Coturnix japonica: one gene and its partners. The protein of the gene in region 2 purifies or fractionates together with the protein of the main gene of each other region. This does not show direct contact. Links are inferred from orthologs where the notes say so. Each region holds a gene or a part of one and is shown on either strand. Other genes may lie near its edges. The genes, in order: TMEM9, H(+)/Cl(-) exchange transporter 5 and TMEM9B.

The links.
Region 1: the proteins of H(+)/Cl(-) exchange transporter 5 (region 2) and TMEM9 purify together in Homo sapiens (co-immunoprecipitation; 3 studies listed by BioGRID and IntAct, with this or other methods). This does not show direct contact. The link is inferred for Coturnix japonica from reciprocal best matches to the Homo sapiens genes CLCN5 and TMEM9.
Region 3: the proteins of H(+)/Cl(-) exchange transporter 5 (region 2) and TMEM9B purify together in Homo sapiens (co-immunoprecipitation; 3 studies listed by BioGRID and IntAct, counting the BioPlex papers as one, with this or other methods). This does not show direct contact. The link is inferred for Coturnix japonica from reciprocal best matches to the Homo sapiens genes CLCN5 and TMEM9B.

Annotation. Positions count from the first base shown.
Region 1 is NC_029541.1:1,280,042-1,283,788, forward strand, and holds the start of TMEM9 (transmembrane protein 9), read left to right. Parts: upstream 1-1,423; 5' UTR 1,424-1,499; intron 1,500-1,528; exon of another isoform or gene 1,529-1,766; intron 1,767-3,260; 5' UTR 3,261-3,269; coding exon 3,270-3,362; intron 3,363-3,723; coding exon 3,724-3,747. UniProt on the Homo sapiens protein: Transmembrane protein that binds to and facilitates the assembly of lysosomal proton-transporting V-type ATPase (v-ATPase), resulting in enhanced lysosomal acidification and trafficking.
Region 2 is NC_029519.1:9,198,616-9,202,362, reverse strand, and holds the start of H(+)/Cl(-) exchange transporter 5, read right to left. Parts: upstream 2,733-3,747; 5' UTR 2,317-2,732; coding exon 2,271-2,316; intron 150-2,270; coding exon 1-149. UniProt on the Homo sapiens protein: Proton-coupled chloride transporter. Functions as antiport system and exchanges chloride ions against protons. Important for normal acidification of the endosome lumen. May play an important role in renal tubular function.
Region 3 is NC_029520.1:13,761,975-13,765,721, reverse strand, and holds the start of TMEM9B (transmembrane protein 9B), read right to left. Parts: upstream 2,679-3,747; 5' UTR 2,554-2,678; coding exon 2,476-2,553; intron 2,335-2,475; coding exon 2,243-2,334; intron 1-2,242. UniProt on the Homo sapiens protein: Enhances production of pro-inflammatory cytokines induced by TNF, IL1B, and TLR ligands. Has a role in TNF activation of both the NF-kappaB and MAPK pathways.

The DNA of each region.
Region 1 (3,747 bases), on a different chromosome or scaffold from region 2:
ACTAAGGAAAAACCCAGCAAGGAAAGGAGCAGAAAATGATCTCCTGGATGTGCTGTGTGGTCCCCCCCCCATTGCTACAAAGAAAGCATCCTCCCCTACACCACAGAACACAAGTCAATGCACACACACGAAAACAACCTTCAGAAAGAGGGACTGGAAACTTCCAAGCTCATCAGGTATTTGGCAGACTTGTCTCTGAGGTACTCACCTGAAAGACTGAAACCTGCATCCAGCGTTGGAGCTGCTTGGGTCATTTATTTACTCACTCCAGGAGGACTGCTCAGCATCTTGTCACTAGGTGAAGCTGTGTCCTGTAAGCACACATCCAGCTTATTCCAGTCCCACAAGAAGCACTGGTATATATAGTTATACTGCAGAAAAAAAACAAAGAAGGATAGATTACTGTGACAATAAAAACGTCAGAGCAGATAAAAATACCTCCTTACCAGTTGTGCTGGGCAAGTTGGCAACATAAGAGCCCTGTGGTCATGATAAAAACTCAGCAATTTCACAACATTGGTAGCATCCCACAGCCAGGGCTGAGGTCGTGCTCAGAAGTAAGAGCAGCAAGTTGCAGCACAGCAGTGCTTCCGCTTGGCAGCACTGGAGTAGGAGGAAGGAATTAGAAGTCCCTTGTGCACCTGATTGCCAGGATGATTCATCTGGAACATTTCCTTGGGTCAATCCAGCTGGAGCAGGCCGTGACCCTCTAATGGACTCCAGCTGAGTGTGTGGGGAACACAGCGTGCTGGGCCAGCACCTTATGCATGGCAGAGCTGGGGGAGAAAACACTCTTACATCAGGAATTCCCACACCTGGGTGCACTGCAGAACTGACAACCTCCACAACTGTACAAACCTTCAAACAGTCTCAGCTTGCTCATAGCAGCAAATCTCCTCTCAGCTGCGTACCACATCACACCAGAGGGGCATCCCCTGATTTACACATGCTTCCAGTTGAATGTATCTCACCACAGCCTCCTGATTTCCATTTTCAAACAGCAAACCCCAGAGACCCACACAGCCCCAGAGGGACCCAGAGATCCACTCAGCCCAGGGGGCCCCATCTCCCCCAGCAGCAGGCCGCAAAGCCAGGCCCACTGAACGCTCCCTCTGAAGACAAGGCCGCAGCTGTGGGAAGCACAGCGTTGCCCTCAGCGCAGCCGTAGGCCTGAGGCTTCTAACACAGAACCAGAGAGTGCTAAATGTGACTTATAACGGTAAAGCAGCCCAACCCAATCCGTTACTGCAGTGCTGTGACAGCGCTTTACCCTCAATACAGAAAGCGGGCACGCAGACCCACAGCTACACGTCATATCTAAACACCGAACCCCACGACCCCCCACCTCACACTGAGGTGCAGCACAGGCGCGGCCCATCTTATTAGAGCACGGTAGGCCTCTCTGCTTTCCGATTGGCCGAGCGCTCTGCCCGTCACGCTGCAACCAATGGGCGCAGGGCTGGGGTGGGGCTTGCAGGGGCGCCGGCGTCAAGCGGCAGGTAAGGCCCAGAGCGGCGGCGGGGGGCGGCCTGGGCGGAGGGGGGGGGGGGCGGTGTTACACGGCTCCTTCAGCGGGACGCTGGGCCTCATAGATGGGCGGGCTGCAGCCTGGATGAACGGAGAGGAGGAATACCGGGAAGACGGCCTGGGGCTGTGCTGTAAGGAGCGGAGCGTTGGGGGTGGGGGGTGGATCGGATGTGATGCTCGTAATCTCTGTGTAAACCTGACGGGATGTCGGCCCGGCTGCTGTGGAGCGTTGGAATAAGGTGAAGAGGGGAGAGGTGTGGATTTAAGGGGGTGTAAATGGCTGTGAGAACCGGAGGAGCTGGGGCGAGGTGTGGGATCGAGGTGTGGTAACGGGGGTCTGTTGGAGCCTGAGTGTGTAAAGAGAGCTCAAGTCTGACAGAGCTTCAGTGTGCAAAGAGCTCGAGTCTGACAGAGCCCTGTTGTGCAGAGAGCTCACATCTGTCAGCCTCAGTGTGCAAAGAGATCACATCTGTCAGAGCACCAGTGTGTAGAGAGCTCATATTTGTCAGAGCTTCAGTGTGCAAAGAGCTCATGTCTGACAGCCTCAGTGTGCAAAGAGAGCTCACATCTGTCAGAGCCTGTGTGTGCTAAGAAAGCTCACATCTGACAGAGCCTTGGTGTGCAAAGAGCTCACATCTGCCAGCCTCAGTGTGCAAAGAGAGCTCACATCTGACAGAGCCTCAGTGTGCAAAGAGATCACATCTGTCAGAGCACCAGTGTGTAAAGACAGCTCATATTTGTCAGAGCTTCAGTGTGCAAAGAACTCAAGTCTGTCAGAGCTTTGCTGTGCAGAGAGCTCACATCTGTCAGCCTCAGTGTGCAAAGAGAGCTTGCATCTGTCAGAGCACTGGTGTGCAAAGAGATCACATCTGCCAGAGCCTCAGTTTGCAGAGAGCTCATGTCTGTCAGAGCTTCAGTGTGCAAAGAGCTCACATCTGACAGAGCCTGAGTGTGTAAAGAGCTCACATCTGTCAGAGCACAGGTGTGCAAAGAGAGCTCATGTCTGTCAGAGCTTCAATGTGCAAAGAGCTCATGTCTGACAGCCTTGGTGTGCAAAGAGCTCACATCTGTCAGCCTCCGTGTGCAAAGAGAGCTCACATCTGCCAGAGTCTTGGTGTGTAAAGAGAGCTCGTCTGTCAGAGCACTGGTGTGCTAAGAAAGCTCACATCTGCCAGCTTCAGTGTGCAAAGAGCTCACATCTGTCAGAGCACCAGTGTGTAGAGTTCATATTTGTCAGAGCTTCAGTGTGCAAAGAGCTCGCATCTGTCAGAGCCTTGGTGTGCAAAGAGCTCACATCTGTCAGCTTCAGTGTGCAAAGAGAGCTTGCATCTGTCAGAGCTTCAGTGTGCAAAGAGCTCACATCTGGCAGAGCTTCAGTGTGCAAAGAGAGCTCCCGTTGCTTTGGATTTGTGCAAAAACAGCTCTCTGCAGTGACTTCATCCACACTTCTGTAGCAAAATCAGCATCACAACACCTACTTCAGAGCACTGTGATGCTGAGTGTGGCACCAGGAGTGATGTGTGGCTTCAGGGCTCAGTGAACAGTGTTTAGTTGGGGTGAATGTCTCCATGCCCCAAGCTCTTTGGATGGGGACATTTTGGGGTCTGTGAGTTGGGTTTCCAAGAGTTTCAGGTTGGCACCTCGATACAGGGAGAAACTTCCATTTCTTGGGGGAAATAACGTTAAGTTATTTAATTAAGAAGGTTCCTTTATGGGAATTTCTGTTTCCTCAGGCTTCCACAATGTTTGTCCAATGCACCTGGAAGTGTGCAAGCTCCATGCTGCTGATTGCACTGCTGAGCTGCGTCCTTTCTCCTCCAGCACAGGCTGGCAAGGTGAGTGAACAACTTCAGACACACTGAGTGTGGTACAACGGGCACAGAAATGGCAGAGAAGCAACTGTTTTTCAACAGAAATATGAAAAAGGAAAAAGAGCTGCAGCAGGTCAGTGCACACATGTGTATCTGTAACATGAAGGGCTGTGAATGTATGTGATGGAGGCCTCAAGTCTGTGCTTTGCAATACATCTGAGGAGAACCTGATCTCTGGAGAGAAGAAATAAGAGAAATAAGAGATGTGATGTGAAGTCATCTCTCTCTTTGGGAATGTTCTGCTGCCACAGCCTTATGTGTGAGGGCAGCAGAGCTGTACCCGTGTGTTTTAACTCACTAATGCTGTCTCCTTGTGCTTCTGCAGAGCTCAGAGGACATCCGCTGCAAA
Region 2 (3,747 bases):
TCCCATTTCTCTGTCGAGTGGTGGATCATCATCTGCCATAGAGAAGTCCAGAGATGCTCCTGCTATTTCTAGCATATCTTCATCACTAGTGCTGCTTTGGAAACTCCCTCGTCGATAGCCTTTCTGATCCATGGCCAGAGCTTCCAAACCTGGGAGCAAATGGAAAGGTTTAAGAGTAGAAATGTTTTTAGAGTAGAAATGTGAAGACATTTTATAAACTAACTGGGCAAGTGTCCCCTGGACATTTTGTCCCAAAACGTCAAAAGAGGCAGCATTGCTCTTGCCATCAGAAGTGAAGACACACAGCAGTATTAAGACACCTGTGGCCTTAAAAGGTAACAAGTTTAGAAAGCTATACACACCCACTTGCATACTCCCAGCACCAAAGCACGGCTGCCCTTGTGCTGGGACCACGCTTGACTTGCAGATAGCCTGTGCAAGCACACCAGTTCTCCAGCCTTGAAGGATGGCAGCACACATGACAGACCCAGCATACAAGAAGAAAGGATCCGAAACACGGAGCCACTGCTGCTGCTGGGCTCTCTGACCTAGACAGCAAACCACAATACAACTTCACAAATATTCTTAATCAAGTATCCCTAACCCATTGCCTGACCTGGCCATCTCGAGGAGATGCTGGCAGCAGGCCATGACACAAGGCCTGTCTTCTTCCCAGAGAAGTGTGGGTGCCCCATACCTGGAGGTGCTTAAGGCCAGGCTGGAGGGGGCCCTGGGCAGCCTAACCTAGTTCTTGATTTAGTCAGGCTGGACCACTTCCCATACAAAACCATGACAACAACCCATTCTGTGATTCTGTGACTGCCTAGGATGGCAAGGAGACTGTGAGAGCACAACAGGATCTAAACATTTAATAATAGCCTAGGTTGGAAGTAAAAAAAAAAAATAATAAAAAAAAAAATAAATATATATATATATATATATATATATATATATATATAAAATCAGGTCTCAGCCTCAAAAACAGCCCATGGAACACGAAAATAGAAAGCTTTACATCTCAATGAGACGATAGGCCATGTTTGCTTTTCTCTTGTATACGTACAAGGGAACTAGAGAGGAACCAAATCTGCAGCTCAGCCTTATTTCAGGAAGGGAAGAAGGCAGCATGTGCAAACAGTCTGAATTACACAGTCTGCAAAAAGCACTTCCTATGAACAAAAAAGCACCACTCCAAAAAAAAATGTTGGCATTGCACAGTGAAATGACACACTGAGCTCTTTACTGAGCCTTACACTGTAGAAAAGAGTGTTGCTTAATTTTTAAGCCCTGTTTACTCACTAAACTGGTGCAGAACACACCAGTAAAGAAAATGCTCAGCACTTGCTGCTGGGAACTCACTGTCCAGGAAGGCACATGAGCTGCTGGACTCTGCTCTGCCAGAACTGATGCTTTTAACACATTCCAAAAGCACAAAGGCAAATCAGGTTAAACCTCAATCAGTGCGCACACAAAACTAATGGTGCCTTACTTTTTTTTTTTTGGAGCTCAAGGCTATTCTTTGCCAGCTAACAATAAAATCAGGTTTCACTGAAGTGCAATGCTGTCCCTCAGCTAATCTGCTCCCTGCAGTAAATGGGGCAGGGCCAGCAAGACCCATCCCAGCAGAGAGCTAAGAAACTATGCTTTGCATCACAGGGTTAACACACAACAGAACAGTCTAATAGGTATTTTCCAGTCAGACTGCGTGTAAGCTTATGTGTGTGAAAGGAGGGTTAAAAGAGGTCTATATTCATGTATTCTCTCTGCACTAAAAGCGTGAATCCCCAGCCCTGATAAAGCTGCCTCCCTTAGCAGACAAGAGGGCACACAGCTGCCAGCACACACTGCCTGTTCCAAAGGGAGGAAACTGGAGCAGTGTCAGCTCCTGCTCCTTATCCCTAACTTCGTTGTCACTCACAACAAAACCAAAAAGCAAACCACTCTCCAGTGCTTGCAGATACTGGGTAAGCATCTAGCATCCATACAGCTGGACACAAGATAATTCAGTGCCCCTCTTCTTTCATAAGTCCTATATCAGTCTTGAGAGATACAGCTTTAAACCAATTTTTTTTAAACAATAATATCCCCTCTATGAGCAAAAAATACATTTCCAGTCTAAATCACGCATACAGAAACACAGTGACTGTTCTCATGCTTATCTCATGGTTAATGTATCACAATACTTTTGCTTCTTTCCTATCAGACCACGCAGCAGGGTGCTGGCATGGTCTGCACGCTCTCTATAACCCTCCCATGGTAATGATACATACCAAAGGGCTGCGGGCTCTCCCAGCGCTCCAGTGAGTACCAAGCCATCCTTCTGGAGCTGCTCCTGTTAACTTCTACTTCTTTTTCAGCCTGACATTTCTTTCCATCTCAGTGGGGCAAAAGGGAAGCAACAAAACAGAACCTGAAGAAGCCAGCCCTGTGATGCCTGGATGTGACTCAGCAACAACAATCAGGAAGCCCAGAGTACCCCATTGCCATTCTGGCTGAAAAAAAACCCGCCTCTAGTCTCTGTTACAACATTGGCTCCGTCACTTGCAACACTTAAATCAGCACCAGATATTTCAGGCTTTTCTCCCCATTTCATGCTCCGACACCATCTCCTGTATCCTGCAAACCTGTTCTCCTCCTTGTCGGACTGTCTTGATGTTCTCTCAGCTCTGAAACGATTTCCCCTTCCCTTCCCACACACACCAGCCTGACGATACAGAAGGGCTGCAAAGCTAAGCAGGGGGCCTGGAGCAGCTCTTCAGGAATGCAAACCTGAGGCTTTCGAAGTTGGAACATGCTAAAAGTTTCCAAAACACTTTTTCCTCCTCATCTGATACGGGGCTTGGCTCCAACTCCACCACCAGCACAAAGACATTATGCTCTTTAAAAAGAGCATGGAGTAATTCTGATCAGCTGCTTCTATGAGTCATTCTTCCTGTGGGGAAGGAGCAAGTTTACCACCTAGCGGCTACTTAAATTAGAGAAACACAAGGGCCAGACCACAAGGCTACTTTTTTCAGAGATTAGCAAATCAAAGTCAAGCTTTGAAGTTCACGGCACTTCTTCTTCCCCTCTCCCACTTTGGTTTTTCATCCCAAGCCCCACATTCTCCCCACATTATCTCTGCATAAAGATGCACACATCCCTCTGCTCAACAAGACCCACAAGTAAAAAACCACAGCAGAAGGCAAGGGGAGCCAGCAGCTCCAGAGCAGAGGAGCCTATAACATGAGCAGAACAACAACGCATTGGTCAACTCAGTCAATTGTTTGGGACTTCCTCATATCACAGTTCATGAAGCGTAAACCTGGGAGACCCAGGTTCCCATGTGCAGGCTGTGAGTTACAGGAGGAAGCCAGCACAGCTTGCAGGGAGCACTGCTGGGTCACCCCCACAGGCCAGGCAGCACCAACCCAGCCTTGCCAGCAGATCCTCAGCCCCAATGGGATGGTGCTGTGGCACATGCACTGACTGCGTGCTTTTCAGACAGAGGAAAGGGGTGGGTGGTTTGTTTTTTCTCCAATTTTAACAAAGGATCAGAAGAAAAAAATTGATCTTAACAAACTAATTGTAATTTCTTCTTTAACAGCTAAGCATCAAAAGACCACGCATACAGAAGACCTCCATGTGTGCCTCTCACACAGTTAACCAGGGTCCAACTGCTAAGAAAAGACAATGCCAGGTGAGAGCCGCAGCACAACAGACTGCTGCTGTAACGCAGCCTCAAAAGGTTCACAGGAAGATTTGAAC
Region 3 (3,747 bases), on a different chromosome or scaffold from region 2:
GTACAGCAGAATATCTGTTACTGTGAATATATCAAATAATATCAGCAAGGTTTTTTTTTCTCTAGTTCAGTTTCACATTGCTATGGAGGGTAAAAGCTCTCAGTTTGGATTATATGTTTCCTTGGACTGTGATTCCATGGCAGTTTAAGAGGAATACATGGAAAAGGTTGACCCTTTCCTAAAGGGTGTTCCCACTCAACAATAACAGCACCAATGAAGCTATTCTTCCTAGCAAATCAAGGCAAGCCAAAAGCACAGTTTCAGGTCAGCTTTCAGTTTATCCACCAAAGCAGACAGGGCACCTTCCCTCCCACTATGTCCTTGACTATTAAAGCAATCAGCCTCTAGACATGAAATATAAATGCATTTCTCTCAAAGTGGGTTATTTAACTGAATGTCATGTAGGTGCTTAGTCTTACACAGCACAATGCTTGCCTAGTGTGTTGTTTGTCAGGACTGAAGTGTCAGCAGTAGCTCCAAACTCTCAAATGGAAAACACATTTATTGGTGTTGGAGCACTGTCAGCTCACACTGATGTTATCAAAAGGCATTGTTTAGCAGTCTGTGAGGATGAAAAAGAAGGACCTCTCCAACAAAAGAACAGAAGTACCTAAATAAGAGTATCATAATGCAGGCTACAAGTTCAATATTAAAGATTAAGCTCAATATTAAAGATTTGGAGTCCAGATAAGGAGGCAGTAAGTGATCATACTGAACGTAACTCACTGATCTGACTCTTGCCTCAGAGCGACAGATGTAAATGCCCGAAGGGCAGAGCACATCACCCTGTTCTATACAATAACAGGTCACTGGCACAGATGCAGAAGCCCAAGTGTGACACTAAAATGGTCTACTTTGTTGCACATGACCAAGCAGTGAAGCCTTTTTAAAGTAGCAAGAAGGCAACTCAAACAAGAAGACCAAAACATTCCCAAGTGGTCTCACAAGAAACAACCCCAACAAAATAAGATTTAGGACCAGAAAATAGGTTTCTGAGATCCTGTAAGCACCATTTACCTGTCACCATGAAACGAGCCAAGACTACAAAGTTAATTTTTCCTTAAATCACTACCAATACGATTTAAAGTGAAACAAGGCCTTTTCTGGCAGTAGGGCACATGCTAAGCAATGTCCACTGAAAAAACCACACTTAATAGGCAGAGGAGTAATAGGCAACTAAGCCATTAACAGAGTCACTCTGAAATGCCAGCTGCAGCTGCAGTTCTCTCAGTATGTCTTACTACTGCATTGACTATGACTAATTTGTCACAGCAGGCCTAATCACATTAAGCTAACCACATGGGACAAAACAGTAATTTAGATTAGACACTACATTTTATGTTCATTAACACAGATTGAAATTTATGGTGTTGTTTCTCACAGCTCTTCTGTAAGTAAGTCAGTAAGTCAAGGCACAGCTCTTAATACACATCTGTATCACTAACTTCATTCCTCTAATTGTTTTGGTGGGATTACTAAGGGGTATGGATTATTCACAATCAAGCTGCTAGCCAGCTGCTATTCAACAGACCAAAAAGCCTACTAATAATTCTTGGTATATAAGGAAAAGAGTCGACATATCAAAACATATTTCACATTTTTATAGGTTGATCCACAAATTCCTGAGCACTTTGGATATCACAGCAACTCCAAAGCATGCTGCTTTAAATCAGTGCTATCTTCCTTTCTTCCCCAGCTGCTCATCCCTGCCCACATACACTGGTCCTCAGCTCAGTTTAAATCTGACAGATGCCATGGGTAGGTCCAAGCAAAACAACACAGTACGTGGCTGAGACACAGGTTTCTCTATACACAGGAGAGAGAATGTGCTGCTAACTATACTGCATTCTCTGACTGTGATTTTTGAGGAACAAACCTCCAAAACAATCTCTGAACAACAGGACTGGTTTTGAGAGCAGAGAAGTAGGAGAAAACAATCCCTATCCTAGATTAACAGATACACTACTTCACCATGATACCACTTGTGGTCACTGAATTCAAATTACAACACCCCTTTCCTTCTACTACCTCCAAGCCTTATGCAACAGGAACTAAAAACAGGCAAACAAAGCAATCCAAAATAGAAGATGGAGAAACATTAAGGGTGAAAACCCTCATCTCTTCAATTCTGAAATGCTTTTAGAAGCGAAGGCGCAATGAGATGTAGCAGAGATGTTTTTGTCATCGCCACAGAACGCTGACAGACAGTCACGCTGTTTGTAACTCCCCACGATAAACTCACCAGTCCTTCTGCGAGACGTTCTTATTGTAGATGTGGCCCGAGTGGTCTTTGTAAGGAGGGCAAATGCATTTACATCGGACGTCCTCGGAATTCTGCAAAGCAAACAACACGCTGAGCCGGGACACGGAGCGCACACACACAGTATGTCAGACCCCAAGAACTGACAACAAACCACCTTCATCTCAAGAGCTCAAAGCAATTACCGGGATAAATACACAAACAGCACTACTCACCTTAGCCTGTGCGCCCAGCCCCGCCAGAACAGCCAGCAGCCCGCAGAGGCACAGCCAGCCCCCGAGGCCGGCCGCCATGTCGGTCCGGGGCTTCTCCTGCTAAAGCACCGCCTAACAACACAACACCGCCTAATTAACAACACTACCGTGCCGCCGCCATCACTTCCACCTTCCTCCCGTTCTCTTCCGGTGATGTCCGCTCCTCATTGAGGTCCGCGGGGAACTGCGACAGCGCCACGAGGTTCCGGGCGGAGAGGGACTAATATCGCGTTAAATAAACGGTGTTTGTTTTAACCGTGGTTTTGTTAAGAGGAAATACAGCCGGCGTTAAGAAGCATACGCGGTTTAACGAGTTAGTAACAAACAAAAATAAGTATGAAATAGAAGCTGGGTCTCATTTGAAACCATGAATAAACCCTCTCCAAGTGCTTGGGAGTGTAAATATAATGTCTGTGTCTGCTCAAGGTCTGCCCACGGCCGCCCCCTGCTTTCATATGCACTGTAGAATATCCTCATCGCACGGTAATGCAGCTGGACACACAGCAATGCTTGGGGTTTCGTTTTGCTTTATTAAATAAAGAACAGCAACAACAACATGTAGAATATCCTCATCACACGGTAATGCAGCTGGACACATGGCAATGCTTGGGGTTTCGTTTTGCTTTATTAAATAAAAAACAGCAACAACAACATGGTGTCCCAGGGCGAGTGAGCCAGCCTGGATCCATCCCGTGCCTGCCCCATGCCTGTCCCATGGGGAGACGTGTCTGGCACAGTACCATGCACCTGGAGGTCAGGGCTGTCATGGGGTGTGATAACAGAACAGCTCTTCTGGTAGCTGTATTTCAGCTTTCCATGCTTTTCTCCTCCATACTCCTATGCTGGTCCTAGCAGGGGTTCCTGCATCATGCCACTTGTTACTTAAGGTGGTGGAGATGGCTGGGTTGCTGGGTTTTTTTGCCTCTAAGATGGCAGAAGTCACAGGGGTACACATGCCCTGCTACCTAAAATGGCGGAGGTAGCAAGGATGTTTGGCTCCTATGTTGCATAAGAGCAGAAGTGGCAGGGTTTGCTGTGTTGTCCCTATAGTTGTTTAAGATGGCGGAAGTAGCAGGGGTTGGTTCCTCTTTTTACATAAGGATTGGTGACCCTTGCTACTTAAGTAGTGGACTTGGCAGGAGTTGGTGCCCTCTACTTGAGGTGGCAGAAATGGCAGGGCTTGCTGTGTTGTGCATTTAGTTAAGCTAGCAGAAGCTGCTCGGCATGGTGCCC